2 linked regions of the Tribolium castaneum genome follow. The protein of the gene in region 2 purifies or fractionates together with the protein of the main gene of each other region. This does not show direct contact. Links are inferred from orthologs where the notes say so. Each region holds a gene or a part of one and is shown on either strand. Other genes may lie near its edges.

Region 1 (15,641 bases), on a different chromosome or scaffold from region 2:
CGACCTCCTACAATCATTTGAGTGTCATACATCAACCACTAAAAACAGATAGTTTAGTTTAATTCGGCGTCAAATTTGATTCTTACAAAAGTAAAAATTACAGTTGCAATAGCTGAATAAACTACGTGTAAAATTGGCATATGTATTCCCACAAGGCTCAAAATCATGATAACCACTCCATAGAGGCACAACATGCCAGTTGCTACACACAGACACATTCCACAACTTGTAACATCCCACTGAAATAATTTAGTCATTTGGTTCAAATAAAAAAATTAAAGTCATCACCTTAGTTTGTATAGCAAATAGTGACACCATTAAACATAGAGCTGCAGTAGTACCTACTGCAAATAGTACAATTAGGGGTGGTACTCTTGCAGTTAGACACATTACAAGCAGAGTCATGGCTACTGTCTGGAAATACAGATTAGAAAAAAATTATACTGTGCTTTGGCGTTACTAGAATTGCCAATAAAATAAAATTTAAAGGATATTGATGTCGGACTCGAGTGCACACCACGCAACAATAAACAGTCATGAAGACAATCCTGAAACGAAAAAGTTAAACTGTTTTTAAATTTACTTGTGTTGTTTTCTAAAGTTCTTCAAACAAAATTTAAACAGTTATTTGTCACTTTAATAACTGCTTTGAAAAATCTCTTATGTAACTTAAATCACGAGTTCATAAAAAATCCTTGTTCATTTCTCATCAAAGTAACCCAAGACTTTGAAATTAAGTTGGCAACATTAACTAAACGCAACACATCAAGTTGCAAAAAAATTAACTATAAATTCCCATTTTTCTGTTTTAAGTCTTGCGTCTTAGTTGCACTTTTTCGTCATTTTGAAACTAGAGTGATACCACTGACTCTTTGAGGGAATTTTGATCACTGTTGCCAACCTAATTTCAAAGAGTTCTCCGTACATGCCCGCAATCATAATAGGCAGTCCGTTGCGTATCAGAAACAGCTTCGTATTCTTCCTAAAATCAAATCAAATTAGACTTAACTTTTTACACTCAAACGTACTCATAGGTGGCTAGAAATGCAAAGGCAAAAGTGAACGCCAACTGCGCCGACAAAATTGTGTACACCCTCTGTACAAACCGATTTCGGATCTTTACGGTATCGAAGGCGTCAGTAAAAATCTCCCCACTTCCGCCGAAAAAATTGAAACCTAAATCGGACTGGCGCTGTCTTACGGGCGGTGCTTGGGCCACATTCATCGGAGGGGGATAGCCACCCTTAAATTTGAATTATTTTTTTCGCAATTTTGTACCACTCACCTACGTAATAGGGGTCTTGGTACATTCTTTGCTGGTAGGCGGGGGTTTGGCGTTGGGCATAGCTTGGGTCGGGGTAGTAGTAAGCTTGGGGTTGATACGGTTGGTAAGGGGGTTGATTGGAGTAGGGGGGCGGTTGTTGGTAAGGTATCACCAGCACTTCCGGCCCGCTCTGGGACTCTGATTGTTGGAGGGCTGTCGGGGGCTCACCTTTAGCTTTTTCGGGGTTGTTGTCACCCATTTTGGACACATTGTGGTTTCAAGATTCCCTAAAATGACATTTTTCTGACATTTTTTTCAAAAAATTTGCCATCGTACTAGTGATGGCATCTAAGCATTCAGGCGAGTTTTTGTGCCAAAAGTCATCAAACACAAGGCGATTTTTTTCATTTTTGCTTGAATCGCAGTCATTGGCAAATTTGGAATTTAAGTTGGCAACCTTGGTTGTGAAATTCAAACTCAACACTTTTTTTAAGACATTTATTTCCATACAATTCAAATACACTTTGACTTAAAATACATTCAGTTTACGACGTTTCTGCAACTGGTTCCTCTGGTGGTTTTCTATCCCTAATCAATATTGTTACCGCTTTCACTACGTACGGAGTTGTTACGCTCATGTACATTACGATTGCTCCGAAAACAAAGTCGGAGGTATTTAATATTTGTTCTTTTAAAATTTTTTTCATAAGAAATATCATAAACTAGAAGATAAATGATTATTTGCTTCGTAATGTTATTGAACTTGGACTTACCGTAACACACAAAATGGTTAAAATCGTTGATGCGACTATAAAATCCCAGCGAAATAGATCTTTACATAGGAAATACAGGCAAAATGCCACAACTCCACACACCACAAGAGTAAGAATCAAAATAAAGCCACACATATTCAGACTCATAATCTCCCACTGCCAAGATGAGTTATTACGATTTTTCAAAAATAAAAATACTTAACTCTCTTCTGTGAAGCAATCAACGAAATCATAAAACAAACCACAGTAAGACATCCGAAGTGATTCGCCAAAACCATGGTAAATTTAAATTTACTAGCAAGCGCCCCAAATTGAAGAATCACAGAAACTGTCTAAAACTCAAAAAATATTACCCCAAAAAACCTTGCCCAACATTTTACAATGACAAAAAGGCAAATTAAATTCATCGGCTTTTGCCGAATCCAAGTCGAGCAGCAGACCATAAACGACGTAATCACGATCACAAACGCCCTAAAACTCCAATTAGTTTCACAAAAAATGGGCAAACACCACCTACGTGAAAATAACCAGCAACAGGATCCAATTCTCGACCATACTGTTCATAACCCCCTCTCTGTAAAACCGAATTTAGTGCTGAATTCAGCCGAAAAGACCCACTTGCTTGTAAACCATTACGAAGTAAAACACAAACGAGAAAAGCATCTGCAGGGCTACAATCACAAAAACGTGCTGAACGAACCAGTTACGGTTTCGCAAGTTCCGGAAGGATAAAGCAAAGAGTCGCGTCACTACGCTTTGGTCCCCGGCGAACGAATCCTCTGCGTAGTAGCTACTGACGGTGCCCCCGAGGGCCCTCCAGGGGGTGCCCTGCAACAAAAGGGTGGGCTAAGGCCGCTTCTGCGCTTTCTTACCGTTTGGGAGCGGGCTTCCCCCATTTGGGCTATGCTGGCCACTTGGGGCTGGTTCAGGTTGCCGACGTAGCGGGGCATGATGAGAGAAATGGACCTTTGGGCACTAAATGTCAAACGTCACTCAGTATTTTTATATTTCAGTTTTTTATCGAAAATTTTCTTAAAAGTGAACAAAATCACTCTAGAGTCATTTTTTGACGAAATTGTGCTTAAAAACAAGCTACCGAGGAAGCTCTTAAGTGCCCGTAGTAATATTTTAATTAATTAATTAATAATTCAATTAATAATTAAATTAATAATAGTATTTAATAAGTTTAATAATTTTCGATTTTTTCGGTGAAATTGTGTTCATACAGAGTGACCCAGGGGTGCGTAATAGGTTTATAACTTTTTTGTTACTTGAAATATCGTTACGCCGTTTTCGTTATTCGATAGATCGACTTAAAGTCCACAAAACAAAAATATTTGTATTATACACAGTGTGTTGTATACCGGGTGGTGAACCAAAGTTATATTTTTTTAAATGGAACACCTATATTTTTTTGCATAGTTATATTCTACGCAAAAAAATAAAATTTAATAAAAATAAAATTTATATAAACTATTACGAGTCTATCTCTTTTCGTTTCCGAATTATTCAATTTTTGGTTATAAAAAAGACCAATTTTTAAAAAATCACTACGAAGTCACCTATGAATATTTTTCGACAAATTTGCAACAACAAAACCTAGAGTCATTTTAGCAGTAGTCAACTTTTACTCGATTCACGAAGGTAATGTACAGGGTGTGCCAAAACGCAAAAAGTTGAATAGCTTATTTTTTTTCACATGCAAATTAAAAATATTTCTTAAAGTGTTTTTTTTTTCGTTTTTTTATTTATTTTATTATTAATTCTTGATGAGTAAAATTCATTTATGTATCAAGTAATAATTAAATTACTAATGTAATTAGTCACATTAGTACATATCAAAAAATAAATTATCATTTGAATTTATCAGATTCTAGGACAACAAATTTTCTTATAATATAATATATATTTTTTTTTAATTTTCGAAAAGTGTTTCAAATTTGCTATGCAAAGTCTATACCATTTGAAATCTTATGCAAAATGCTATCGACACGTGTAAAAAATACACGGTGTTGTTTGAAAAAAACGATTTATTCAACTTATTTTTGCGGTTTGGCACACACTGTACAGTAAGAGTCCACTATTTGCTAAAACTGCATGGTATTCTGAGTTTTTCTGTGGCAAATTTGTCGGAAAATATTTATTGGCGACTTCGTAGTGATTTAATTTTTTTTTTATAACGAAAAGTTTTAAAATAATTACAAGTTATAGACCGAATTTTGCATGTTTTTCTGTTTAAAATCATTTAATTTCCATCTAATTTGTCCATTTTCTGAATCAATTTCTCAAAGGAAGCACGTTTTTTGAAATAAAACGACGAATATCATAGTTTTCGACAATATTTAATAAACTTGATTATGGACATGGGGAAAAGGGGTAGGTAGGCGATCTGTGTTAAAGCTCCGTAAACGTATTCTTGGCAGCAAAGGCGCTCTTTTTCACAGACTGCAATTTGCCGAGTGACATAGAGAAGCCACTAAAAGACATCATCATTTCTGATCACTTTGCAACCTTCGGTTACCAGAATTAATATCTGCATTATCGCCGAAGTTATAAACATGAACCAAAGATCACATTCTTTAAAATGAGTAAAATTCAAGGCTATTGTAACAAATCCGGTTATAACCGACATATAGAGGAACGTGAAAATGTGCATACAAACATTAGTGACTTCCCACTGAAATTAAATAAAAAGTATATCATAATTTAGTTGCTGCTACTTGTACTTTCTTCTGGCAAGACATTAGTGAAAGCGTGATAAGGACCACAACTGCGAGAGCTGTGCCGTAAATAGAGGACCATAGGATCCCAGTACATGAAACCGCGAATGAAACTAGAGTCGTTCCTACAGAAAATGTCTGAAAAAGATGAAAAAACTTATTTTACAGTCGAAATGATACTTACGAATAGGAGGAAAAGGATACAATTAACTGGGAAATAACGTCTCAGTTTGGCACTACAAACCAGTATCACCTCAAGACCCAAATAATTCATTCTAAAACGGTAATAAAATGCCGGATTTCGATCCGACAATACTCACAAAAAAATTATAATTAAAATAGTCCTGTTTTTGTAAACAAATGACCGAACTGGTGGTCTGAAAAAAGTGATTGCAATTTTTATGATACTTAATACCTATAGGTACGTACAGAAATCGCATCAGCAGGAGAAGCGCTAAAATGATCAAAAAATGACAAATCAAAATTGCAAAAGTTCCCCGAACAAACTTATTTTTATTTCTGATACATTCAAACGCTGGAATTTCGTCTCTGTTGATTGAAATGAGCCCATCATCCCGATTCACAGTCTGGACGGAGGCGGTTGGAGTGGCTGCTGTATCGACCGAAAAAGACTAAAAGACACAATTACACACTTTATGTACCCGCATTTCAACAATTAGCTACCGCAAATGTGTGCAAAGCCGATTCTCGCGGAAAATAAACATGATGTTTTAGGGGTTTCGGCTGGGGAGCAGGTGCCGCCTGGAAGAAAAACCTTGATTCGGAATCCGCATCCCAAACCTTACGTCTGCTTTTTGGCGAAATGTATATTTCAGTAACTGAGTCTTCGTTTGATGGGGGGACACTCATCTTGACGTTTGAATTTTCGCGCTACTGTCACCAAACTATCAATTCCTACGTTATGAATTTTGTGCGTTATGGATTTGTCATTAATTTGAAATTAAGTCAAAGTCATAAATTAAGTGGCTTTTTATCAAACACAGTAGCAAACGATGAGAACGACGTTTATTTAATTTAAATATCTCAGTTCTTATCGCCTCAAATCACAGATAATAACACTAGTGGCGTGACATAACCTCACCACGGTCCTTGACGTGTCATCATTTTAAAGAAGACACAAAAAATGGGCTCACAACCGCTCGAATTCATTCGACAAGTCCTTTTATTGGTTTTTACGCCCCACTGTTACGATAATTATTTCATTCATTTGAATTTTTTCGATGGTGAGTACAAAAAGTGAGGTTATAATGCACTTGACTTGTGCTTTCAGGGCCGTGTTTTTCTTCAACTTTGAGCAAATGCCTAGGTCTAGGCATAATTATGGGCTCACTTTTGGTAAAACTGCCCCAAATCATCAAAATTTACAAGAATAAAAGCGGGGAGGGCATCAGTTTGCTCAGTGTTACTTTGGACTTGACTGCAATAACGATTTACGCATCTTATAGTTTCCTCAAACAGTTCCCGTTCAGTGCGTGGGGCGATGCCGCCTTTCTTGCGATACAGACAGTCCTTGTTGGGGTTTTGGTGCTCCATTATGGGGGTTCTAGCTCAAAAGCACTTCTATATTTAGTTGCTTATTTGTTAGTCAATTTCATTCTAATGAGTGGCTTGACCCCTATCAGTGTCTTATGGACATTGCAAGGTTTTAACATTTTCATTGTTGTTAGCGGGAAGTTGACACAAGCTTATAGTAATTACAAAAATGGAACTACAGGTCAATTGTCAGCGGCTACTTTGATTATGTTATTTATGGGGTCTCTAGCCAGGATTTTCACCTCGATTCAGGAGACGGGGGACAAGATGGTCATTCTGACCTATATTGCTAGCACTCTTGCCAATGGGGTGCTGGTAGCGCAGTTGCTCTATTACTGGAACGTAACACCACAAAAAGAAAAGGCTCACTAGGGATTTAGGGATTAAAAAAATGTGCATAAGTTTCAATTTTTAGTGTAAAATATCACCAGTTGATGAGACTGTTAAATTCGTGTACAAATGTTGCAGTTTATCATTCCCTGTTAACGTGTAAGTCTTTGATTATTAAACGACTGTTTGGGAAAAATAAAAATGGTAATTAAACAGAAGTGGGTAGTTTTATTTAGCAGAACCCGTAGCTCTCAGAATTCTCAACTGTAATTCTCTTTATTCTTTACTAAGCGTCATTCAGATAAACTTATAAAACAGATAAAAAGGTAAAATAGACTTTTTATCGTAATTTGTTTACAAAATTTAATTTTTTGTTTGTGGTTGGAAATTTAAACTGTTGATTCTGACGTAAAAATTTAGATATCAAGTCGAGTTTCCATTTCAGTGTGAAAATAAGTGGTTATTTGTTGAATTAAATAATCCTCTAGAGCTTGGGCTAGCAATATTGGCTTGCAATATTGGTTGCATAACTACATTTTTTTTAATTTGCAAAAAATACTCAATTTAAAAATAAAGTGGTTGCGTGGCGGAGTGAATTTTTACACGGGCCAAATAATGAGTTAAATCTTGATGAAATAATGCCAACTTTTTTGAGAAAAAGTGTTATAGAGATTAAAAAAAAATTACGTTTTTTATGAAAATTAATTACTTTATTGAAAAAAATACCACCCTAGTGGATTAAATAATGTCGTTCTTCACATGTTACAGAGTCGAGAGTTTAAAAAAAAATAAAATACAGTTTTTATTACGTTTTAAAAATTCAACTAACTTTTTCAAACAATAAATCAATTCTTATAGCAATTAAAGAAACATAAATATGTGGTGTTGTACTTATGATTTGCTACAATTTAATTAATTATAAAAACTATTTTTGATATTATTTTTAAAAAATGGAATAAACATTTCAAAATGTGGTTATTTTCATTAGCAATGTTGGTATCAGAGGGCATCTGAAGAAACCATTGTTTTCTTACAATGACGGCAAAAGATTAAATATTTGAAGTTTCTGATGCTTTTTTCAATCTTTATTAATGTTAAGAATCGATATTTACGTGGTTTTAGTAATGTAATTCAAAGTTTACGAATAAAAAAATTCAAAATGTAGTTATTTTCTTCCACAAAGTTGGTGTAAAGTCACCAATTACGCTGTCAAATGTCAAATCCAATTCTTCCATTTTGTTCAAAGAGCAACTCGTGAGTTTGCCGGCTGATTTATTACATTTTGCAGTTAATTACAGGTAATTTATCATATTTAATGTATTAGCCAACGTTGTGTTTTCATATTGATTACGTTTTTTATACCAAACGTGGCTTTTTATGCGTAATGAGCCAAACTGATCCGACATAACCTTACATCCTGCACACATTACATTCAGTCCTTTTTTTCAAGTAAACAATGTCTGCGGCGCAATTATTCAACAGGATTGGACAGTTTGGCCTTGGAGTAGCTCTGGTAGGCGGCGTGGTCAATTCGGCGTTATACAATGGTAAAAATTAGCAAAAAATTGTGTTTGTGTTGGTGCTCAATTAATTAATTGATAGTCGATGGTGGTCACCGTGCCGTGATCTTCGACCGTTTCTCCGGCATCAAGAAGCAAGTGATTGGCGAAGGCACCCACTTCTTCATCCCCTGGGTGCAACGCCCCATCATCTTCGACGTGCGGTCGCGCCCCCGCAACGTCCCGGTCATCACCGGCAGCAAGGACTTGCAGAACGTCAACATCACCCTCCGTATCCTGTTCCGCCCCGTCCCCGACCAACTCCCGCGCATTTACACCGTCCTGGGGCAGGACTACGAAGAGCGCGTCCTCCCTTCCATCACCACCGAGGTGCTCAAGGCCGTGGTGGCGCAGTTCGACGCCGGGGAGCTCATCACACAGCGTGACCTCGTCTCGCAGAAGGTCAGCGAGGACCTCACGGAGAGGGCGTCGCAGTTTGGGGTCATCCTGGACGATATTTCCATCACGCATTTGACGTTTGGACGGGAGTTTACTCTTGCGGTGGAGCTGAAGCAGGTGGCGCAGCAGGAGGCGGAGAAGGCCAGGTTTTTGGTGGAGAAGGCGGAGCAGAATAAGAAGGCGGCGGTGATTTCGGCAGAAGGGGATGCTCAGGCGGCTACGTTGCTGGCGAAGGCGTTTGGGGATGCCGGAGAGGGGTTGGTGGAGTTGAGGAGGATTGAGGCTGCGGAGGATATCGCGTATCAATTGTCGAGGTCGAGGCAAGTGTCGTATTTGCCAGGGGGGCAAAATCTGTTGCTCAATGTGCCTACGCCCTCGAATTAAGGGCTTAAAGGGGGAGAGAGTCGGGTGTTTTGTTTGACTCGGGACTAGGAGTGAACTAGGATATGTACCAATTTTATTTTACTTATTTAAGGCCATACTGTTACTGTTAATAAATTTTATAAAATATTTTCGTGTTTTTTTTACCTGTTTTCTCAGAGGCGGATTAAGTATCCGCCCCGAATCTGGATATACTTTGGGCCTCTTTGTCGAAAACTATCAGTATTTATGGCTAATAAAAAATAATTGGCGATTATTTTTTATGTGGGGGTCTCTCGTTCACTCAATTTTTCGATCGCAATTAGGTCTACCTCTGTGGAGGTGTAATTTTAAAGATTTTCTTATCGGCTTAAAAAACAACAATCTACTTGTTGGTTGTTTTAAAATTTGAAAAATCCTCTTAAATTGTGTTTTCTAGAAATTCTCACTTTGAGTCAAACTTTCTCTACTTTCATTACAGATTGTAGGTAACCAATCACAATTCTAAAACGATCAAAATGCCGAAAAAAAGTTCTTTTTTACATGATACCAATTTTTACTTACAAATTTTCGATCAGCTTTAATATAATAATAAAAAAAAATTCCGACTTGTCGCACGCCGACAATGTGGACACTATTATTGGAAAAAACACAAGCACCGTTTTTGAAACAACACCATTTACCTAAGCCATGACCCCCTTTCGCATCACTTTTGAATATTCTGGGGCAGTTTCCACCAACTTTTCGTCTTTCTTGTTAGATTTTCCAGAAATGTCATTTGGAAAACTGAAGAGCGCGCGCATGCGCAACATGGATCATTTCGAGAATTCGTCAATTGAAACTTTTTAACTGATATTACAACTCATAGCAAATATAAAAGAGCTTCAATATAATATTCCTTATTTATTTCCTCCCATTATCCCAATTTTTGCATTTTCATCTAGTAGATCGTCCAAGATTACCTCTGAGGGTGAATTCATGAAAGACTGAAGATGTGACAGGCAACAAAGACAGACTCATGTTTTATGAATTAACGTAAGCCACGTAAAGATTGTTGTAAAATTTGTAAGCATTTTGATTGGACGGTTTGGGGTCGGCCATTAAAATTACGGAGAAAACCAATCACTTTAGATTTTTGGATTCATTGAAAAATTATATTTTCGGATATGATTGGTACATTTATGGTCGGCCATTATAATAACGTTAGCAACCAATCACTTTGAATTTTTGGACTCATTCAATAATTTTATTGAATGGCTATTGTAAACATTAAAATCAGGCAATAAATAAACCTTGTTTTTTAAACGACCTTACTTGGTGCCCTAGTAAAAATTTTATTGAAAAAAACTGGCAGTAGCTCATCTGAATATCCACAGATTTTGTTTATTTATTGTTTTGTACCTAAACATTTCGGTAAAAAATTTACGTGTATGTTGAAGGTTTCCTAAAAGACTTTATGGATTTTGAATCCACTAGTGTTATCCACATTTCTTCTTTAAACGCCTTATTAGGAACCTCAGGTTCCTCAGCACATACGTAGGTATATCACTGCCTTAATTGTGTCTAAATACAGAATTAAATCCTTTCTAAAAGAGAAATGACTGCACGTATAAGAACAGTGGTGTAATAAGTACACAAAAAATTAGCTTCACGCAAAAAAATAATGAAAGGAGGAGATTATATGGAAAAAATAAAGCATACTGTTCCTGTAATTTATTGTATTGTAATTTATAAAGTTAAACCTACTTCTACATTCTTTTCTTTTCTTTGTTAAAAGCATATTGCAACTACCAGACCTACCCTTTATGTGATTGATTTCTGTCTTCTGCCACATTCAGGAATATTTTGCATTTTCGTCCCTTTCTTGCTAAAAATTGCGACTATGTTAAACAATCCTGTAGATGTTACCTACTCGTACATTTTGCGTCTAAATTTCAACGGTGGTGTTTTAATGATCTCTACTTTGACTACTATTTTCAAATTTACAAAACTGTTATCGGTAGGTTTTTATCCCTGTATCTGTGGTTTCATCTATAGAAAATTTCTTTTGCTGTAATGTTTAATGACATTTTTTTCAAATAAATAAAAAACAGAGACTGCTTTCTTCTTTTATTAAAACTAGTACGAGTGAATGCTAGTGGTGACAACTTTAAAATTATTTGACACTGTTCATTTAAAAAAAATAGTTTTGCACGTGGCTGATTAATTTTTTCAGCCGTTCGAAGTAGTTAAAACATACTTGTTTTTTAGCGACTCTATTAAGTAATTAATTCTAATTATAGGGAATTGTAGAAAAATTTTGAAAAAATTCACATGCATAGAAAAAATTTAATAATTATAATTAGGTACGGTTATTTAACAGTAAACGTTAAAATCACACTGAGACTTGAAAATAGCTAAAGGTTAACAATTATCTCACCCTCTTCAATTTTTTAAAAAATTGAGAGGTGAAACCTTATTTTGCGATGTTTTAATAATAAGGATATTACAGTTTAACTAATTCGAGAATAATATATAAAAACAAAACCAACCGAAGGTCCTTGAATTCGTTCCACACACAGTTTCAATTAAAAACAAATATGGTTTACGCTCACGACTCAAGAAAAAAGTACCGGAAGTGAGCGTTCAGTTTACATGAAAATACCTTTCCCTTCTAAACCCCATCCACCAGGATCTGTCAATAGTCCAATCGAGCCCGATAACAAACAGCCTTACATAACTCTCGAAACTAATGAGAATTTAAGACAAAAGTAGTTTTGTGATGGGTATCGCAGTGATGCGACACTATTTTTAATTACAACATCCCCAGGACGTCGATATCCAGCCGAGTGGCGGTAAAGCAGCCGCCTTCATCAAAGTCAAGTCCATCGACACCTTCCTTCTAACGTTATTTATTACATGCTGGCATGCATGCCTTAAAACTAAAGTCAAATGCGTCGATTAATCAGAAATGATTTATCTCTCCTACAGCCTGTTTTGCAATCATTAGTGAGGGAGGAAGAAATAAACCAAGCCAATTTTTTTTCCCAAATTTTATTTGTCCCAAATGCTGAACCTCCAGGAAAGCCTTGAACCAGTTGACATTGAATCTGAAAAAAAAAACAGTGTTACATAACATTGCAATTAATCACACAAACAGTTTTAATTAAGTCGTAAAACGTTCGGTTTTGCACATTATTTATCCCAAAACTTCACTGGAGACAACAATTTAAAAGTAATAAGTCATCGCTGAAAGTGATTTATTTTAAGAACAGGATACAGTTGGGCCGGACCATCTGATTAAAATAAAAAACGCATCAATCGATTTTAATTAACTACTGTTTAATTGGGGTTTTAATTGATTAATTAAGCAGTTGATGAAAGTAATAATTAATAATAGGTCGACAAGAATAAAAAATCACTAATTTGTTATTTATTTATTTAGTAACCAAAATCACAATTTAAGCCTTCTTTAGCTCAATATCAAGTTTGAAACACTCAATAATTTCATCGTTGCTGTCCTTATCCCGAAGCGAAAATTCCAAATTTAGGCTGACTTCTGGAAAAACGGGCAAAATGTACATTCCGTAGGTGTATTCAACTTGTTCACCCTCTTCTATGGGACACTTTGTGTTGGTAATTCCAACACAAGCATCATCCTGATCCAGCGGATACGTCACATTTATGCCCATAAGAGAAGCAACAGCGTTTGGAGCAAAATGTTCCAACTTACGGGCTATGAAAATTATTTAAAAAATTATGAAATGAAATAAGAATATACTACATACGAGATTTGAATTTCATAATCATGCTGGTGTTAGAATTGATGTAGAAAACACACGGTTCCGCGTCACAATTTTCGACTTGGACATCGTCTGGTAAAGGGCCAGTGGGGCCTATTTTTGTGTAAATAAATTGCAAAAAAAAGAAAAAATTCACTTACATTGACTCACAACCGTGCTGTAGGCACCCCCAAAAAGGAAAATAACGAAGAGAAGAGCAGAGACTGACATTTTGACTCAGATTGTTGGTTTAATCAGTTTCCAACTAGCTTTATATATAGCCGGAAAAATGTTTAAACAGGTGTTCTTATCTACGATAATTTATTATTAGTGAAAACAATCGAATTACTTGTTATGTATGTACTTAGTTTTTTTTTCAAGTGAACTGCTGGTAGGATTTTCAGTTACACCAAAATTTTCTTTTTAATTTTGTCGTCTTGTTCTTTGAGAAAAGTCAATAATAAAATTAATAAGCAAATGTTTGTTTACCTTATCGTTCAAGATCTTGCAGGTGATCATTATCAATTATTTTCCATGAATAAGTTTACGAAATTGTTTTTAACCTCTAGTGGATGAGTAATTGAACATCTGTTTTCTAAACTGGACTACAAAGTCAAATTTTATCACGAATAAGAAGCAAAAAATAAATCTTTTTGTCACCACCTAAATGAAATAAGCCTTGCAATGTTGTGAGACGTTCCGATTTGCATAATAAACGAATCAAAGCAGGGCCAATTTTTCACCTTGTCCCTTTGGTTATTAAAATTAATAATTGCGAAAATATCGAATACGCAAAAATAAGTTATGTGGAATGTCTGTAATTTAAATGCTGGTGACTTATATAAAACGCGCAATTAAATGAAAAAATGCGACTTGTTTTAAAAATGAGCATTAAAACACTCTGCTTTGGAGGATGATACATGAATCCGGCCGAATATTTAATCACTTCTTGGGCCTTGCGCGGAGTTCTCAAATAAAATCAGAATTATTGTTTAATTGTATTTTACAGTTTAAGTGATCTTTAAAAGTTGTTTTTTCCAAAAAGTCCGTAAAAGATATAAAAAAAAAACAAAACATAATTAGTTAAGTAGAAATTCAAAATTCTAATAAACGAAATTTTGGTGGAAACAACAGTTTTATTACAAATTTTTTGCTCAAAGTATCGTTGTTTTAGAATAAATTAAGAAAACATAAATTATCGATCAATTAACATTTTCTTGTTTTTAATTATTGGTAATTTTTAATTAACTAATTTTAATTAAGTATTAGGAAGAGAAAAATTCCTTGCATAGGGAAAATATAAAGTATTTAATAGCAAATGTTGATTTCTGTACGATTATTAGTTTTTGAGATATAATATTAGAAGACATTCGTTTTTTTCACTTTCAAACTTGTTGAGTCTAATACAATGAAACCTTCCTTAATGAACATCTCCGAATAACGGACACTTCGTTTCAACGGACATTTTTATTGGAACGGTACAAAAACTTTGGAAAATAATGTAAAAAACCTCTCTACAACGGACCCTCTGTAGATCGAAAGCGGACAAAAAAATCCCCAATACCATAATATCATTAAAAATACCTCCTACAACGGACAGACCGAAAGAGTGTATGCTAAAAATTTCGAAAAAACTTTATGAAAAGATTGAGACTTGTAAACTCATGCTGTCTGAATATTTTGAACCTGTTCAAAAAATAGCTGAAATTATGTGTCATGTAAGAAATTATTGCAAAAAACACGGCTCCTAAAACAACCAAACAAAAATTGAAAATTTTAAGGAATAACTCTGTTTACATATTTCCTTTTTTAATTTAAATTAAATGAACCTGAACAAAAAATTGGAAAAAATAAATATACGGAGTGCTATACGAAATATATTTATATTTAACGCATAATTAAGTTAATTGTGCGTATGAGTACCTAAAATACTTTTTTGTAAAATATAGGTATTTTTTTCTCCTATTTTATGTTTGAATGTAATTGGTGGTTAGTTTATTGACTGTGCTTTCATAGCCCTATTATAAATAATGCTCCTTTCGATATTTGTGGTGTTATGTTGAGAGTTCAATATACAGATATACAGATTCAATATACCTTCTGTAGTCACTTTGTCGCATTCCGGAGTCACAATTACTCCCACTTGTTTATTTAAAAAAATATACAGGGTTCTGTTTTTATTGTTACAAATTTAAACAAGTGATAGGACATGCAATTTTAAGGCAAAAGTTTTCTATAAACATGTATCGAAAAATATTTCGTAAGGGAGCTACACTCCCTTAAAAGGGTGCTTCTTTTATTAGGTTTTCCTCGTTATCTTACCTCCATGGTTTTCTTGAATAATTTAGGGTAAAAAAGACTCTAACTATTTTGGTATTAGTTTTTTGACACTTTCAGCAAAAAAATCCATACTTTTTTCTGTGTATTAAAATTGCCCACCTCTCTAGAACGGACAATTAAAAATTTCCCATCGGTGTTCGTTGTTGAGAGGTTTTACTGTATATTTTTTTATTTGTCGGTGCACATGTTTTGCATTCGTTACGTCTTTCTGTGCAAATTTCTAAAATCAACTTTTTATATTTTGCTGGATACTTTTGGCCTCCCGTTATGATATATTATATATATATTTCAAAAGCTGCGGAGGTCTGTCGGTCAGTCGCCTCCGGGTTGACGTCCCGAAGAGCAACACCAGTTGATATCGCGTGTTGGAAGCAGCAAGATCCTAAAAGGAAACCTCCCTTGGCCATTTAATATTATTACTTTTGGAGCACAGCAGACACACATCAGCCTCCTAATTCCAATATTCGACCGATAATTGGGGGCCTTCGAACCCTTACCAGCGCTTACTATTATTGTTATTTAGCCGTCGTGACATGCTTTCTCGCAAAACTGAATTTTCAAGAATCGTTCAAATTGACGTC
Region 2 (16,636 bases):
TTGTGTACCCCCCAAATAGCTCATCGGCCCCCATCCCTACCAACAAAGTCTGAATTTGGTGTGACAAATGGAAAACTTCAGTTTTTACCCTACACGGCGTTGTGTAATCCTGGGTTACTCCACGACTAGCAAACCACAATGCACAGCCTAAACTATCATCCAGAATCGAATTTAACGGAAAAATTAAATCGGAAATTCGGTCGCGTCTACACTTATCTAACTCCTCGCGCGTTACATTAACTTCGACGAAGTTCCATTTCCGGTCAGGACACAATTGTTGCAACTCTCTGAGGGTGCTAAGGCCCGTAATGCGATCAGGGGTGTCGTAACAGCCCCCTTTTTCAAACGCTACGTTCATTAAATCAATAGGACGCAAAGGGTCGATTACTGTACTCGCAAGAAGGGCCAAAACGGCACAATCCACACCCCCCGAAAACAAAATTCCAGTAATAGCGTGATCACAATCGTATTTTTTGTAACAGTTTTGGCAAAATTTCGGTTGGGCTAAAATACGTTTTTTTATGCTATTTTGGAGAAGTTCCTTCAGTCGTAAAATATTGTTCATGAATGGAGAATTAAATAAAAAATTAAACAAATCACAAGTTTGTAAATCCAAAAACCCAGTCAATAGTTTCAGCTGGGCCTCGCTAGGAGGAACGAACGTTTTCTTTCGGTCAAATACATCAGCCTGTTTTAGCACAGTCTGATTGATAAATAACTCAAATTCGCTTAATTTCTCAACGAAATTTTTGTTTTTCCGACGCCACGGTAAAATTTTCCACTGTTTTGTATCAAGATCAATAGAAAATATGCCGATGCTTGGCAGTTCCATAAACTCAAACTCTGTCCCCCTTTTTGCAACACTTGTTATTACAAATTCGTTTGCATTTCTACCGATTAGTAAACTACGTCTGCCGAAAATATCACGCCCAATGTAAACTTTATTTTGTACCACGTTTAAGTACACGAACGCGTAAGGCCCCTCAATGTTGTCTAGCGTCATTAAAATATCGTCCGAATTTTGCAAAGCGTCGAAAAATAGGTTCGTATCGCCTGAACCACTATTTAATTGTTGACCGATTTGGGAACCCCCGAAAATATCCCCATTGTAAATAAAGACAGAATTATCATTTTTGCACGGTTGTGTCGTAATATCGGTACCTTGAAGCCACAAAACGCTCGAGGCGAACAGGATATTGCAATTATTCAGCTGGCAAAAGTCGGTTTTCAACGAGTTGGGGCCCCTTCGCGAAATTTGTTCTTTGAACAATTCAAACTAAAACCAAATGTTTTCGATTTAAATGCAAAAAAAATCAGAAACAGACCTTGTAATGTAATGTTTCAGTATTGCTTTTGTCGAATGATAATAAACAAAATATTCCACACATTTCAAACTTTGAGGTTAAGGTTTTGACGTTCTTGTAACAACTTTTCGTGCGAATGTAACTCGGTTCGAAACGGTAACGACCGTGCATTCGTCCGAATGGGGTTTTGAGAAATGAGGCGTGTAAAATTTGTTTGTATATTAAAAAAATTGACAATAAATCATTTATATATAACATTGAGTCGACAATATTGGCGATATTGATACAAATAACATTTTTTCCGATGCAGTAATACTTTAATATGAATAATTTGAAGAGGTCAGTACAGTAATACAAATCCCCGGTCACTATTGCCTGCCGCACACCAACATAGTAAGGCACCAGAAATGTTTATACAATGATATAATTACATTGGAAAAAATGGTATTTTTAGTTGATAATTGGTGGCACTGATGCAATGAAGGTTGTGTTATCTGTAACAAAAAATACAATAAGAAACGCTACTTTCCCGAAAATATTGTGTTACATTTTTCGATAACATTTAGTTTTGGAAGCCACTAAATGCCAGTACTAATGTTGTCAATTTCCCAGACAAGACAACTTGTGTTAGAATTTTTTAACACAAATAGTGATATTTGTCTGGTTTTGGTGGTGTCAAGGGTAACCTACCTACTCAGTGCTGCCTTCAGAATCACTTTCTTCCTCAGCGTTTTGAAGCCACTCAACAAATTGCTTCATCTGATCAACAAACATCATCTTGCCCTTAACGCTGTAGTCCTGCTTATACCATTTAAGAATAACCTGTTCGGAGATAACATCCGTCTTGTAAAAGAGCATAATGATCTTCTGGAAAGCCCTCATAAAAGTCATGTTTGAATAGCAGTACTCCTGCACTTTTAAGAGGAGATTTAGCTCGGAGCGAGCCGACTGAGTGAACGCAGAGAACAAACTAGTGTAGAGTTTCAAGTGACGGACAGCTTGGTCGGTAACTAGTTCCTACAATTAAAAAAGTCAAAGCGTGTAAACATTTTCGTTGGTAAAGTCTTACTTCTTTCTTGGACCACTCGGGAATGTCCATAAGAGTGGTCCAGATGATGCAGACCGTTTCGTGCTCCTGTATATTCTCTTTCGCCGCAAATTCGCGCAACTCGGCGATAATGTCGCGTTGGGGCTTATTTTCGGAAAGGCTATCGGCCAGCATAACTTGCAGCTCCTTCTTGGCTAGCTGTTGATGCTGGTCGTTGTACAACTTGAGTATTTCTTCCAGTCCGTTCTCCTGGAAGGCGTTACGGAAGTACACCTGAGATTGTTTCGTATCGGGAACGAAACTCATCAGATGCGATTCGATGTTGGATTTCTTTATGGCTGAATATAGGGAATTTACACCCTTGTCCTGGCGCCAATACTTGAACACATCGATCAGGAAATCCAATGCCAAATGGTCCTTGACCAAGTGCGAATTACTCAACACCAGGACAGCACTGAACGGAATGCTGCCATTCGAGATCCACAGATATACCATCACAGACAGTTTTTTACGTTCGGCTGGAGTGAAGTATTTCACAAACATCAACACTTTCTTTATTTCATCCTGCAACAACGCAATTGCGCACTGAATAAAGCAAAAAGAGAAAAGAAAAAATCTATTACATTAGGGTTAAAATTAGCAAAAAGAAAAAATTTGCATCGATTTTTTTGGCAAAGATACCACCCAATTTTAATTACTCAAATCACCGTCTATTACGTCAAAACACGTAATCTAGTTGACAAATTTTTAGACGCTGAAGTGGAGGTTCTATATCTCAAAAGGTAGTAAAAGTTCGGATAAAGTTGATTTATTTTGATTTTTTTGGGCTCTACTCTATAATAAAATATATGAACTATCAAATTCACTGTAATTACGTTTAAAAACACACGTTTTCACCTGTTTTCAGTTAGTAATTTAATAATCTCTTCATCATCTTTGTTATTATCAATCCCGACATATTTCTCAAAATACATTGAGCTCATGGAAAATATTTTCGGTGCATGAAAAATAGTAAGTTTAAAATAAAATTTTATAAGACAATTATAAAAAACAAAACAACAACGATCGATTTGTTCGGATAATATTAGCCAAAACGTATTATAAATAGGAAAAGGAAATCATAGTTTTCGTATTTATTTTTATTGCCTTCATATTTTTTTGAATTGCAATCAACGTTAAGAACATAAGAAACCAGTATTTTTCTGAAACGTCATTTCAGAAATTCCGAATACTTTTAGCTCACCTACTGAAAGTTATAAGATCTGTGGTCGTAGTTACGTAGTCTTTCCTTATAACATATAATCACCCGTCTTAAATAACAACAGATAATTACATGGTTCTATGTCTAAATAACACATTGTTTTATTTTAGTCTACAAGATTAATGCAAAAAATGAAAAACAAGCTGTTTAGTTTTTAATTAATAGCAGTATCTCTACAAACATTTACGATAATTACTTATCAAAGGTATTTCATGTATTACATCATAACTTCATCCTAATCTATCATAATACGATTTCAATGAAACATTTAATGATAAAACTATTGATAAAAGCATTTTTAACGCAAAATTACGTCCGCATCAGTTATAAATAAAAATTCGAAACTTATAATTTGACCACGTACTTTATTACATTGTACCTCTTACTAAATAATATTTAGAAACTTGTTTTTACAAGTTGTATTAATCACTTTATAAACATGAGTCATTTTGTCGAATAAACACCACGTTAAACAAGCTTTTCATTTATTCATGGCAACAAAATCAAAATAATGAACTAATTTCATAACATTGCAAAAATGAATACTCAAGAAAATAATATTTTAGCTTTGCTGAAATTAAAAATGACTTGTTGTTTTTCCAAAATTTATTAACTATAGCAATAAAAATATGTAAAAAGAGATTAAAAATTAATCCATGCTTGTACTAAAACAGTAAGTATTTGTGGCAAAAATGACTAATAAATTGCACGACAAACTGTATAGTTATAACGGAACGATCAGGAGAATAACAGTTACTTCAAATGATCAGCAAAATCGATGAATTCTTAAAATTATCAATTTAGCAGCACGAAGCCAATTAAAACGTCACTTCCCGCTTCCTGTGGTAAAACCTAACATTATACTACACAAAAACTTCCTTCTGGTTGTCATTGACATTTGATTTCTTCGGCTGATTCAGGATCTAAAAACGCTTGACCTCGCACTTTTTAATTAAAATTTAAACAGCTGAAATAGAACCACTTCATGCTCCCTCAAAAGACAGAAAAATGTTTATCAGTTTCTTGGCCTTGTGACATATTTACAGTTAGAATGCTCCCATAAACTTGTCCTTATTCTCTAATTTATTTGCACGTGATTTATTTATTCATCGCTGTGTTACAATACAATAAAAAAGAAACTAATTTCCCAATGATTATCTTCATATTGTAATCGCATTTTGAAATGCTGGCAATGGTATTGTTTATTTGAGAAAGTGCAAGACATTACAATTTTTTGGCCTTTGAAAGGTGAATGCTTTGTCACACACCATTTAACCAAAATCTCTAAATAATGAATAGAACTGGAAGTTGACTTCCTTTCTCCATTTTTTTGGCTAATTAAAGTGTTAAAGAAAGCAATACGTACTTGGAAAATCTTCTCCAAATATTTATAGCGACGCATTAGTTTAATGAAAACCTGTTCCCAGCTTTTCATAGTCTCCAGGTTTATTTCGTCAGGCGAGTTGAAGATGCAAGCGGAGGTCTTGAACGGCGCCTCCCCTTCCTGCAAGAGCGTACCTCCCGGTACTGCTTGAAATGAGTAAAAATTTGCAAAAAAGTGTGAGTCTTTACCAAGGATGCCCCCCGCGATGAGTATGTCAAAGAGACTTTCTCCATATCGACGATAATCTTGTTTATTGCCTGCACCGTCCAAAAAACGCGAAATTGCTTCAAAATTGTTGTTGCATTGATCGAGTCCAGAGATTATTGCATCCCTAAACCCTACTGGATCGTACCTTTCCTTTTCATCTGAAAGAAGGGAAATTCGTGAAGGGGGCGCATTGCGCTTTTTGGAGCTTTACCTCTTTTTCTGGTCTTGATGCGTTGACCGGATAGAACTGGTTTTTCTACTTTTTGACTCATACAAAAATTTCTGTAAAAGAGGAGTGCGATTGAATTTCCGCTCGACTTTGAGTTCGTGCAAAAAGAAGTCGATAAGATATGGAATGTCACAAGAAGTGCCAGCGGTGGGAAAAAGCGCAAAGAAAGGATTTTTGCTTGAATTAACGGCACAAATAAACATGGAATCGGGTCAACGACTCACGAATTTCTACACGGAAAATGGCAAAGTCGCAAATTCGCCCTTGTGCGACTTTCACGCGAAATGGGCAGCGTGTTCGTGCCCAAAACGGCAAAACTTCGCTAAATTGCGCCTTTTTGGAAAATAATGTTGCACAACGCGCCCGTTTCGCATATCGCAGAAGGCATGGTCCACCATTACAAGACAGCCAAATGGCGAAAATGCAACAAATGTCAGACTCCGGCCGTCCAAAAATAGCCCACGAGTGAATATCTGACAGCGCCCGTTGTCGCATTCCTATCTAGCGTTACTTTACTCGAAAAAACTTACATTTTTACGGTTTTAAAAAAATCACCTCACACGAGCTCACAAGAATTTTCAAGACTGGCTCGTCAAAAACTGTGCGACTGCGGACTAGAAATAAAACGTAATGGTCGAACCGGAATCAATACGGACAGCGAGCGCGGGAATTTCAAAAGTCCACTGTTTCGAACGGCTCTGGATTGGGGCTGGTTGCACTTTTTTGATTTTTATTCTTATCGAAAGGCTAATTGTTGCTAAAACCCTACTGTGACGCTTATAGAAACAAAAAAATGCCACTTTCTAGAATTGCTAGGGAGTCGCATGAACACGAGCGCCTTTCTGAACCGGAAATCGACATCCGACTTCTTCTCGCACTGGAATGGCGGGCTTTTCGCAACTTTCTAATTATTGTCTTATTTGTGTTTAACTTCAGAAGACGATAATTTTAAATTTATTAGTCTTGAGGCATATCGGCAATAAATTGATATTTTGCCAAACTAGATTGTGATGTTGAATAAACTAGTAAAATCAACAAAGAAATTCTAATCTTATCTTAAGTAAACTTTATTACATTTTCCAGAAATAGCAGTTGCTAAATATGTGTTGATATCTAATTTCAGTTCATAGCAGAATTTTGCAACAGCGCATTTGAATTTTTTGAATAAAAAATTGAGCATTTTATCTAAAATAAAACTGATTTGTTTTTCACAGACAGTTAATTAATTACTCTTATCTTAGTTAGTTACAATTATTACTTCTTTAAATTCACTGATAATTCTGAGACAATAGGACTCTGAAATTACTTTTGAACTTTTTGGGAATAGACCTGAATTTTCTGATAAAAATTCATTCTTGTCTGTTATCTTTTGTAGAATGATGTGGATAATTAAAACACCGTATCAGTTATAAAATAATTTAATTTGTCTTGTCCTCTACAGTAATGAATATGTAAATAAACAAAAAATACACCTATTTAAATAAAGGAAGCGACGGCTGATTTTTGTTATCTTTGTGCTTTTTTCTTTCCTCTTCATCGCTGAACAGTTCTGCCAGATCATTTTGCGAAGAATTCATACAGTCATCGATTTTTTTCACATTTTCATTGCCTTGCGATTTTGAGATCGTTGAGTAAATTGACATTGCCTAAAACAGAAGTAATAAGGAAAACCAACATCTTAATAATAATAATAATAATAATAATAATTATTATTATTATTATTATTATATTGCTGCGTTTAAAAACAAAACACTGTGTAATAGTTTTTGTTGTTTTTAAGGTAATTTTGCATGATATTAGGTGATTTTTAACAGTTTTTTCGTGTATCAAATTTTTGGTGGTTTATAGATATTTGTGTACTTTTGGGGTGCATAAAAATTTGTGCTTTTTGAAGAATTTTGTCTTTTTCGGTTGTTTATTTTCGGGAAAACAGGTAAATATTTAGGATTCTACAGAACTAACATTTTACATCCTATTGTCAACTGTGATTCAGTATAGAAAACATTACTTAATTTAGATTAGAAAAAGTTAATAGAACTTCAGCTTAAAATATTGGATCTAGGAACATTTTAATTTAGAAGTTGGAAGTTGTATTTCAAGAAGACTAATGTACAGTATATTCCATGTTTTTTTAACTGTATTGTTACAGAAACGATCAGATTTAATTTAGTGTAACGAAAAATTTTTTTTAACACAAGGTATTCAAAATTTTACATTTCAAGTACATTTCGCTAACTTGAATTACAATAAAAATTACCAATTTCTGAAATTTTAAATACAATTAATATTTTCTAAAATATGATTTACTTTTTGTAAAATAGAGTTGAAAAAGATGTAGTTTTTCATATTTTTCTTACGTTTTCTATCTCTTGAATCTGTTACTCTAATAACATTCCTGAATTTTTTCAAGCAAGTAACAAAAATTTAAATTTAAATGAATTTAGAACAATTGGGAGCCCAAAGCATTCAACGATGTGCCCCCTGGTTTGAGTCCACACCTACCTGCGCCACCAGACTCGAAACATCCCCAACATTTGAGGGCAAAATAAGCGTATTATTCGTCTTTGCCAACTTATCAAACGCTGTCACATACTGCTCTGCTATGCTCAAGGAGGCTGCATTCGGCCCCAAATCTTTCTTAAGAGCCTCAGCCACTAGTTTAAGTCCCCCAGCGCGTGCCTCAGCCACGGCCAAAATGGCAGCTGCCTCACCGGCAGCTTTGTTGATTTGTTCCTGTCTCTCGGCCTCAGAAGCTAGAATTCTAGATTTTCGTTTGCCTTCAGCCACGTTGATATCGGCCTCGCGAATACCCTCAGATTCCAGAATAGCGGCGCGTTTTTTCCGTTCTGCTTCCACTTGCATCTGCATCGCTTCTTGCACCCTTGGAGGCAATTTAATGTCACCTTTGAGAAAATTTGTGAAGGGCGAAAACTAGCTTAGTAAAACAAACACTCACGAATTTCGTAACGTAGACAGGTCATGCCCCAGGCTTCACTCGCCTTGTTTATTGAGTCAACTATGGATACGTTAAGATTTTCCCTCTCGCGGAAAACTTTATCTAGGGATATTTTGCCCAGTTCTGAGCGCATTGTGGTTTGGGCTAGCTGGGTTATGGCAAATTCGGGGTCTTCAACACCGTAACTTGCTAAGTAAGCGTCCACTATTCGTAAATATAAGACACCATCAATGTTTAGAGTAACGTTGTCTGAGGTGATGGCACTTTGTTTGGGAATATCGACCGCTATTTCCTTCAAACTTTGAACATACTTTACCCTATCTACAACTGGGATTAACACGTTTAAGCCGGGCTCGAGTATCCTGTGAAATTTTCCCATCCTCTCCACCACCCAAGCCTGAATTTATGAAAAATGAAATTTTAACCCAGTTTCTGTATTAACATACTTCCTGTTGGGGCACGAACATGATAATTGTGTTAATTGGAGTGTAAGACCTGTGCCGTACTGTTACAGAACGAATTGTGTGGTTTTGAATCAAATCAACAGTTGATGGCTGCTACAAATCAAGAATTTGCAATTGATACAAAAAAATGCCGCCCCACTCACCCTTAATATTGTTCTACATGTATTTATCAGTTGTCTCGAAAACATTGCTTAATTTTTTTTAATTTTCAAGGATTACAAATGTACCATAACCTTCAAAAGCCGGGTCTTGGAAAAAATTTGACGTTCCGCGCTATCGGTAAAAACGATTCCTACTGTACCAGTATAAATTCAAAATTCCGATACAGGGTGTTTGTTATTTTGAGTATCCAAGTTTTACGATACAAACAAATAAGATGGGTTCGGGATTTTTGGCAGAACTGAATAAGTTGAAAAACTGCCAAGAATATTTGGAAAAAAGTAATAAAGTGTTGAACAATTTCGCGAAATATGACTGTGGGGTGGATTTGGGAGAGTTTTTTTCGTCTCTCGAACTCGAAAGGTTGAGTACTGATAATTAAAATGACACTTTTTGTGATTAATTTTGCAGAAAAAATGAAAATGAACAACTCGCAAGTCAGGTAAAAGAAATTTGGTGCTTGTTGAGTGCCGAGAAAAAACTATTGAAGGAAGGAAATTTGGAATTACTAGGTCCGATCTAACAATTTTTTCAAGTTTAATCTATTCCGTAATTAACTAATTACAGATATTCGTTCTTTTAAAAAGAGAATGATCGGTCTCCAGGATAAGATTTATAAATTGAAAATTAAAGTCGCAGCCAATTATGAAACATTAAAAGAGCAAGAAGTGGGTTTATCAGAAATTACAGAAACGTTCAACAGTAAAATACCAGAGTGGGAAAAAAGTGTAAATATTTCCAAACTCCACAACTGCAAAACCTACAACAAGTCATTAAAATTTGATAGTGACTATAAAGTAAGTTTTTTACTATTACGTTTCGTTTGAAAATAAATAAAATGTTAATAGGAAGTAAAGGAATTTATGGATTTCGTTAACAAAAGCAATGGGCATGAAAATGGGTGGGCAAGTGAGGATCACCAACTTTTCCTAAAGCTTCGAAATAAATACAAGACCGTTGATGATTTGGCCCTAAATTTGCACCGACTGTTACCTGGTACTTTTCCTAATCGGTTAAAAACATTAAATAATGCCTGTTTAAAGACATCACTCCTACCGCTGTTAGAGAGCATGAAGCCTGGTTCACTAAATATTTATTTTTAAAGAGAAAAAAAGACGAAGCGCTTGATAAGTGGCGCAAGCTGAAAACCGAAAATGTACCACAACATAATAACGATGAACAAATGTGTGAAAATAAAACCAAAAATAAAATATTTCGAAAATGTGATGACGAAGACGTTCAAAAGAAAATCGCTCAGTGGAAAGTGACATTTTCCTAAGTGTTTAATATACAATTACTGTTTTCTTTTCAAGGCCGAGAAGGAATTAAAACGTCAACAAGAAAAATTTATGGAAGAAATACGAAAAGAAAAAATTAAGCGTCTCGAAATGGACAAAAAGCGCCTTCATTATCAAACGAAAGAGACAGTGACCAAATGGAAAGAAGAGAAACTTGTTAAGGAATTTAACGAAAAAATTCTGCAAGAAGTACTAGATGAGCAAGAAAGAAAAATAAGGTTTGCAGTACCTCCATCATTTAACTAATTAACAAAAAAATTATAGGGCTTTTGAAGCCAATAAAAGAATCAAACAGTTCCAATCGCAAGACGATATTTACATCGGAAGAATGCGATCCAGCAAATGCACCAAAAAAACGCAAATACCGGTCAGAAGCAAATCGAGTTATTCTGTGCCAAGAGATCCCGAAAGGCTCTTAAAACCTACCAAACAGTGGCTAGTACGCACTTCAAAAAATAATTTTCTGGAAGAAAATACTTCCGCTTACGTTCCAAACATCAAACATGTACCGAAATTGTAAGTGCGTGCTTTTGCAGTTTCCTGTGATAACCGTGTTTTAGGGGAATACCCGACTGGCGAAAAAACACCTAAAGCTTGTACAAAATAGTGTTTTATTCTTAAGTAGAATTTGGTGTCCTTGTTACATTTTTGGTATTTTTTAAACAAAATGTTATAATATAAAATCCATATGTACAAAAATATAAATGGCAAACACTCAGCATCGATTAATTAAGGGTCGGTCTGATGACGATAAGTCGGAATCGTCAAACTGTCGCAAATGTATCTACAATTTCACCTTTAATACTTTTCTCATTTATTTTTTTATCACCTGTAAATGCAAATTAACTTCGGAGCAGCGACTTAAGTATGGGAAATTCCCTCCAGTCTTAAGATGAGCCAACTTAGCATTAGGGTAACATTTATAGAGCTCTTCTCGTACGGCATTTGATAAGGCATATTCATCAAATACGTCTATGACAGTAATGGGAAGATCGGCCAATTTGTGAGCTTCTACATATCCTTTAAGGCAATTAAGTGTAAGTCTACTGGCAAGTTCAGTTTGAGGAAGGCTTTCCAACTGAAATTGACCATTAGAATTATATCGCGAGTTTAAAAAAACGTGATCAAGAGAGCTCTAAAAATTTTACGATGTCTTAGACACCCTGTTATTTACGTTAAATAACATTGATTAAAGTCAGTATTAGCTCTCTTGACCATGTTTTATTTAGACTCTCGTTAGATTTACCCTCTCAACCATAAAGTCAATGGCCTCGACCATTTCTGGATCAACCTTTGCTGACCCGAAATTGCTCATTATCATACGTTTCAACACAAGGCCTGGCAACATCCAGAAAATAGCCGCAGACTCGTGGTTATTGAAAATGGCAGTGTCAGTGAATGTATTGCACAAGATCAGAGACGCAACTCTTGGACATTTTACTGTGTATTCAGCAAATTTTTGAGCTAAGTAGCCGCCTGTAACACTCGTCAGCAAACCGCAGTCACTTCTCAAGTCCTACCCAAGGAAGCCCCAAAAATGTGGACCTTAACAACTTCCAAATAATCAAGAAGTTTCCTAAAGCCTTCACACCATTCCTTCACGTTCCAGTAGACCGGCGCTTCAGCCGAAATCACCCTAATCCCCTTAGCTGATAAGGCAAGAGCTTGTTTAAAAAAAATATCGGCGGTCCCGGACACCGGAGGAAGACAAATTAGCGGGCACTTTACCTTCTTGGGGCCACAGTCATATATTCTCCATCCCTGAAGAGGCCAAAGAGGGCAAAGTAACAACAGATTATTTTATTAAAAAAACCTTTGTGTTATCTGTATCGACTACTACTCGTTTCAATGGAACACTACTTCGAAAACTTAGATATTCTTGAGATTGGGACAAATCACTAATGTAACTCATTTTCAGTCTTGTGGGGAAAGAACCGTTTTACTTGGAGTCATTTATTCAAAATACGCACAAATTTCCACAAATAATTTCTTATCAAAAATAAAATGTCGTCCACATTGGCCTCACTGGGGGGCCAGAAGGTGGCAAAAACAAACTACACAAAGGAAATAAATCACTTCGTTAATTTCGTAAATATAATTATAAAAAACTGAGCGATAACCAAACTCTTCCCAGTAACAAGATTTTTATTCACTTCCGTAACCAAATTAACAGATAAGCCCGGAAAAACAATTATTTACTATCGGGCTTCGCGATTACGTCCTGCGTTCATCCACGAAACGTCAAACTCATATGTTTATGTTAACCTCAAAATCGCACAATGTCAAACGAACTGAGCTAAAGAATGAAAAAGTACCACCAGTTGATGTTATTAATTATTTCCATTGTTAGTCTGAGTTTGTTCCTGATTTACCGGCACGAGTACAACCGCCTGCATTATGTATTAGAAGTGTTTAACTTTTTCGGGCAACCGTGCAACATCTCCGACCTGCAGCAGACCGAAAACATACTGAGCCACCACGACTGGGGCCCGCCGCCCGTCTGGCAGGAGCACGAAAGTGGCTACATTTACTCCGCATTTCTCACCCGGCAGAACGAAGCCAAGGCATTGACTTTGCTCAGCGATGAGAAACTGGTGCCTCGGAACTGCTACTTCTGGTTTGAGGACAAGAAGAAGCCAGTTATTGGGAAATTCAAGTTTTCCAAAGTGATGAGTGACGAGAACGTCCGACTGAATTTGTATTTCTACATTTGTGAGATGAGCAACAGTGAACATGTGCCATATGCGGTCTCGTTCAGTTTCAAGACGCGCAAAGATAGCGAGTTGAAGAAAATCATGTTGACGAATTCGTTCAATCATCAGGTGAATATTAACACGACGATTTGCGTCTCGCCGTCGATTTACAGCAAGCGGCGGCTTGTGGAGTTCATAAGCTATCATAAATTGATCGGAATCGACTCGTTTATTTTTTATAACAGGGATGTTCCGCATCGGTTGGTTAAAATTATCACGAATCTCTCGACAAGGCTCGGTTTGCAAGCCGCGTTCTTGCCGTGGAATTTCCCGAAAGGGGACAGTCTGGTCACGCGGTCAGTCGTCGAAAATGATTGTCTCTTGCGGACGTTCGGGCAGACTTCGTACGCCGTCACTTTGGAGTTAAACGAGTACATTGTACCTTTGCACAGCTACAGTTTTAATACTTTTTTGAAAAATACCGACAGCGAGTCGGGCCGGATCAGTCTGCCCGTGCAAAAATTCTGTATTGAGAACACCGATACGGCAAAACCGATTTCAATGGTAAATACGGACGTTTCAGATGACTACAATTATAACGTAATAGTTCGCTATATTTACAAGAACAATCAAAGGAAGGAGGATATTTCCACTTATGCCGTCGATAAGGGGTTTGCCTCCATACACAAGTACGTGAGATGTTCGTTTGAACCTTCCAAAACGCGCAAAGACAAGTCCATTTTGAAGTTTTCCACTGATCTCACTCGGTCCACGCTTTTCCAACTCCTTTTGCACAATCAAATTTAAAAAGAGAGCAAGTGGAAGCAATAAACATCTTATGAGGAATGCCGATATTTTTGCTTCGAATTATACATTTAAATGCATTTATGGATATTAGGCTTGTAAACAAGTTATTTCCGTTTACACAATTTTGATAAATTACTACACGTGTATTTATTTTTATTATGTGTAAATTTATGTAACGACTCTGTAATATACAAGAAATAAATTTGGAAAATGAAGATGTTTTGGTTTTATTTATTCCCAGTTTCTGCAGTTATCCGAAACCATTTTGTTATCTGTCCTCGACCACCGATTTGTTCTTCAATGAAAAACGGTAGTTAGGTATTTTTCAAACCTTTTAAACGTTGACAATTATTACATTAATTTAGTAAAACATGTAAATTCAAAGTCGCTAATTAACCCGTTCAAATGAATTCGAATCTAATAAAAAATAATACTAAAAACTAAGGTTGCGAGATTAACAAATTACCAAATTCTTTCAAACTGATTAGATTTAAGAAGCTATACAGTTATCTGAACTGAAATTAAACCACTTCTGCAAATACTAGTACTAGTACAAATACTAGTTAAATACAGAAGTGCAGAAGTCTTTTTCTGTTTCTTTAATTATACGTACGCCGCACGCACAGGTTTCATGGTAAAAAACTTTTACCAATGATTCATATTTTCACTTTGATCTAGGCTCTAAAAGATTTAGGTAGGTAAAGTTTGGAACTGTAAGTTCCATCATTACAGCATTTGGTTTTTCCTGGGGTTTTTCCTCCATTTAGCCAGAGGCGGAAAAATCACCCGTCAGACCTGACGGCATCCAGAAGTCCGGTCTTCAAGGGGCTCCTAAACTGGATAGGGCAATGTTAAAAACAGTTGCAAAAGAAAAAGCAAGAGGTTTTAAAACTACATTTACCTACACCATGACCCCCTCTCGCACTTTTAAATATTCTGGGGCAGATTTCACCGACTTTTCGTCCGTTTTTGTTGGATCTACGAGAAATGTCAAATCGAAAATAAACGCGCGCATGCGCTTTTATTTTCAACATTGGTCATTTGAAGAATTCTTTGAACCTTTTTGACTAATATAAAAGAGTTTCAATTCATTATTCCTTATTTACTTTCCCTTCTTATCCCAATTTTGGCGTTTTTCATCCAGCAGATCGTCCAACATTGCCTAGGGGGTTAGAACGCAAAGAAACATTATGAAAGAGATGCAACAAAGACAGACACATCAATTAATGAATTAACGTACGGCACGTAGTGATTGTTGTAAAGTTTGTAAGCATTTTGATTGGGCCGTTTGAGGTCGGCCATTAAAATTACGAAGAAAACCAATCACTTTAGTTTTTTTGATTCATTGAAGAATTTTATTTTTGGATATGATTGGTCCGTTTGAGGTCGGCCATTAAAATTACGGAGAAAACCAATCATTATGGATTTGCTAATTCATTGAAGAATGATATTTTTGGATCCGAATGATCCATTTCTTTAGTGCTTCCCTAACTCACAATTTTAGTAAAAAATGTGCAAGCATCTCATCTGAATTGCCACAAATTTTATTTATTTACTGTTTTGTGTCTAAACATTAAAAAAAATTACGTTTGTCTTAAAGTTTTGCCAAAAAGACTTTTATTTATGGATTTTGAATGTTCTTTGGACACGTTATTATAGGAAACCTGAGGGCATGCATCACTTGTGACTAAATTAATACAGAATTAATTCCTTATTAGTAAAAGAGTTAGTTAAAAATTAACTTTTTATCCAAAAATTTTGATATTTGTTTATAAATTTATTTTTTCTTGATAAGTTTACTTTTGTTTGTTAAAAAATCAAGAAAAAATGTATCTATTTGCCTTTTATTTACGTTGTATTAACTACTATATTCGAATGTTTTCTATTTAATACAAATTGTTACAAGCGAGCCGATTTATTATATTTTAATAATTATTAAGTTCTTGTTAATTTGAGTCGCGTAGATCTTTTTTCGTATAGGTGTACGTGTGGTTGTTAACAATTTTCGATTTGGTTCGTGCTTGGAGTTGCGTGGTTCAAAGTGCTGGAGAGCATAAAGAGCTTATTGCTTGAAGAGAATGATTGAAGGATTGAGGGACAATGTGTGCCATTACGAGACATTAGCGCTTCTTTGAACGTTTGCAACCTAATAGCATAGTAATGGATTCCGGTCGCTCTCAACAATCAGCGTGATTCAATTTTTAACTGCAGAATTTCACGGAATATGTACAAGTGAAAAAGGATTTGAAATTATCGTGATAGATGCATGATAAAAAATGTAACATTGGATTCTGGAAGTGACACGAAACTAAGAAGACGTTTCTAAGGTGCGTCAACGACGGTAATAAGCCATATTACAATATTGGTTCGTAATTACGGCTATATTGTTGGTGGAAGGTTGGTTGTACCCAGCAGGAGACGAAGTTAGACCTGTCAGAAGCATCTGACGCTGCTAATAACCCGCTCATTACCTATTATCATGCGGTTTGACGTTTGCATACCCGGCTTTTATGTGTCCTTTAACTAACCAAAAACTCAGATTAATTAACCTGGATAAACCGCTAACTAGCTGCGTTTGATAGCTTGATGGACTTTGAGAGCTTTGACACAAACCGATACTGATTCATAATTTGCAAATGCAATTAAACAGCTGCTGCTTTTTCGACCAACTATTAAAATTAATTGAAAATTATTTATGTTTGCATTAATTCGCGTACTTAATCCAACTGCACGCTTACCATTACCAAAATAATCAATGTTCCATATATAATCATATTTCAATAAAACTCTTTCGCTCTTTGTTTGCTAAACCATCAATCCCAGATC

Evidence for each region.
Region 1: the proteins of Stoml2 (region 2) and Phb1 purify together in Homo sapiens (affinity purification with western blotting; 3 studies listed by BioGRID, with this or other methods). This does not show direct contact. The link is inferred for Tribolium castaneum from reciprocal best matches to the Homo sapiens genes STOML2 and PHB1.

What each region holds. Positions count from the first base shown.
Region 1 is NC_087398.1:10,068,559-10,084,199, forward strand, and holds Phb1 (prohibitin 1), read left to right. Parts: upstream 1-7,805; 5' UTR 7,806-7,939; intron 7,940-8,091; 5' UTR 8,092-8,097; coding exon 8,098-8,188; intron 8,189-8,243; coding exon 8,244-8,983; 3' UTR 8,984-9,109; downstream 9,110-15,641. Other genes in the region: slv (sugar transporter SWEET1), read left to right, coding at 5,493-5,796; protein lifeguard 3, read right to left, coding at 1-38, 87-239, 289-414, 461-548, 926-982, 1,029-1,243, 1,290-1,523; uncharacterized protein LOC103312960, read right to left, coding at 1,810-1,986, 2,038-2,193, 2,241-2,369, 2,418-2,508, 2,555-2,611, 2,660-2,865, 2,910-2,987; uncharacterized protein LOC103312918, read right to left, coding at 4,361-4,513, 4,559-4,714, 4,764-4,895, 4,942-5,032, 5,078-5,134, 5,187-5,211, 5,265-5,331; mannose-P-dolichol utilization defect 1 protein homolog, read left to right, coding at 5,902-6,001, 6,049-6,683; uncharacterized protein LOC663453, read right to left, coding at 12,400-12,674, 12,727-12,834, 12,882-12,951.
Region 2 is NC_087396.1:12,752,253-12,768,888, reverse strand, and holds Stoml2 (stomatin-like protein 2, mitochondrial), read right to left. Parts: upstream 9,139-16,636; 5' UTR 9,042-9,138; coding exon 8,997-9,041; intron 8,947-8,996; coding exon 8,836-8,946; intron 8,787-8,835; coding exon 8,390-8,786; intron 8,337-8,389; coding exon 7,936-8,336; intron 7,080-7,935; coding exon 6,906-7,079; 3' UTR 6,836-6,905; downstream 1-6,835. Other genes in the region: asparagine synthetase domain-containing protein CG17486, read right to left, coding at 1-49, 89-1,276, 1,326-1,562; kra (protein krasavietz), read right to left, coding at 1,995-2,321, 2,374-2,916, 4,980-5,140, 5,186-5,362, 5,416-5,476; coiled-coil domain-containing protein 112, read left to right, coding at 9,230-9,375, 9,424-9,524, 9,580-9,809, 9,861-10,008, 10,056-10,276, 10,326-10,528, 10,575-10,826, 10,871-10,901; maspardin, read right to left, coding at 11,026-11,094, 11,140-11,388, 11,557-11,786, 11,831-12,071, 12,124-12,222; uncharacterized protein LOC103312132, read left to right, coding at 12,614-13,810. UniProt on the Homo sapiens protein: Mitochondrial protein that probably regulates the biogenesis and the activity of mitochondria.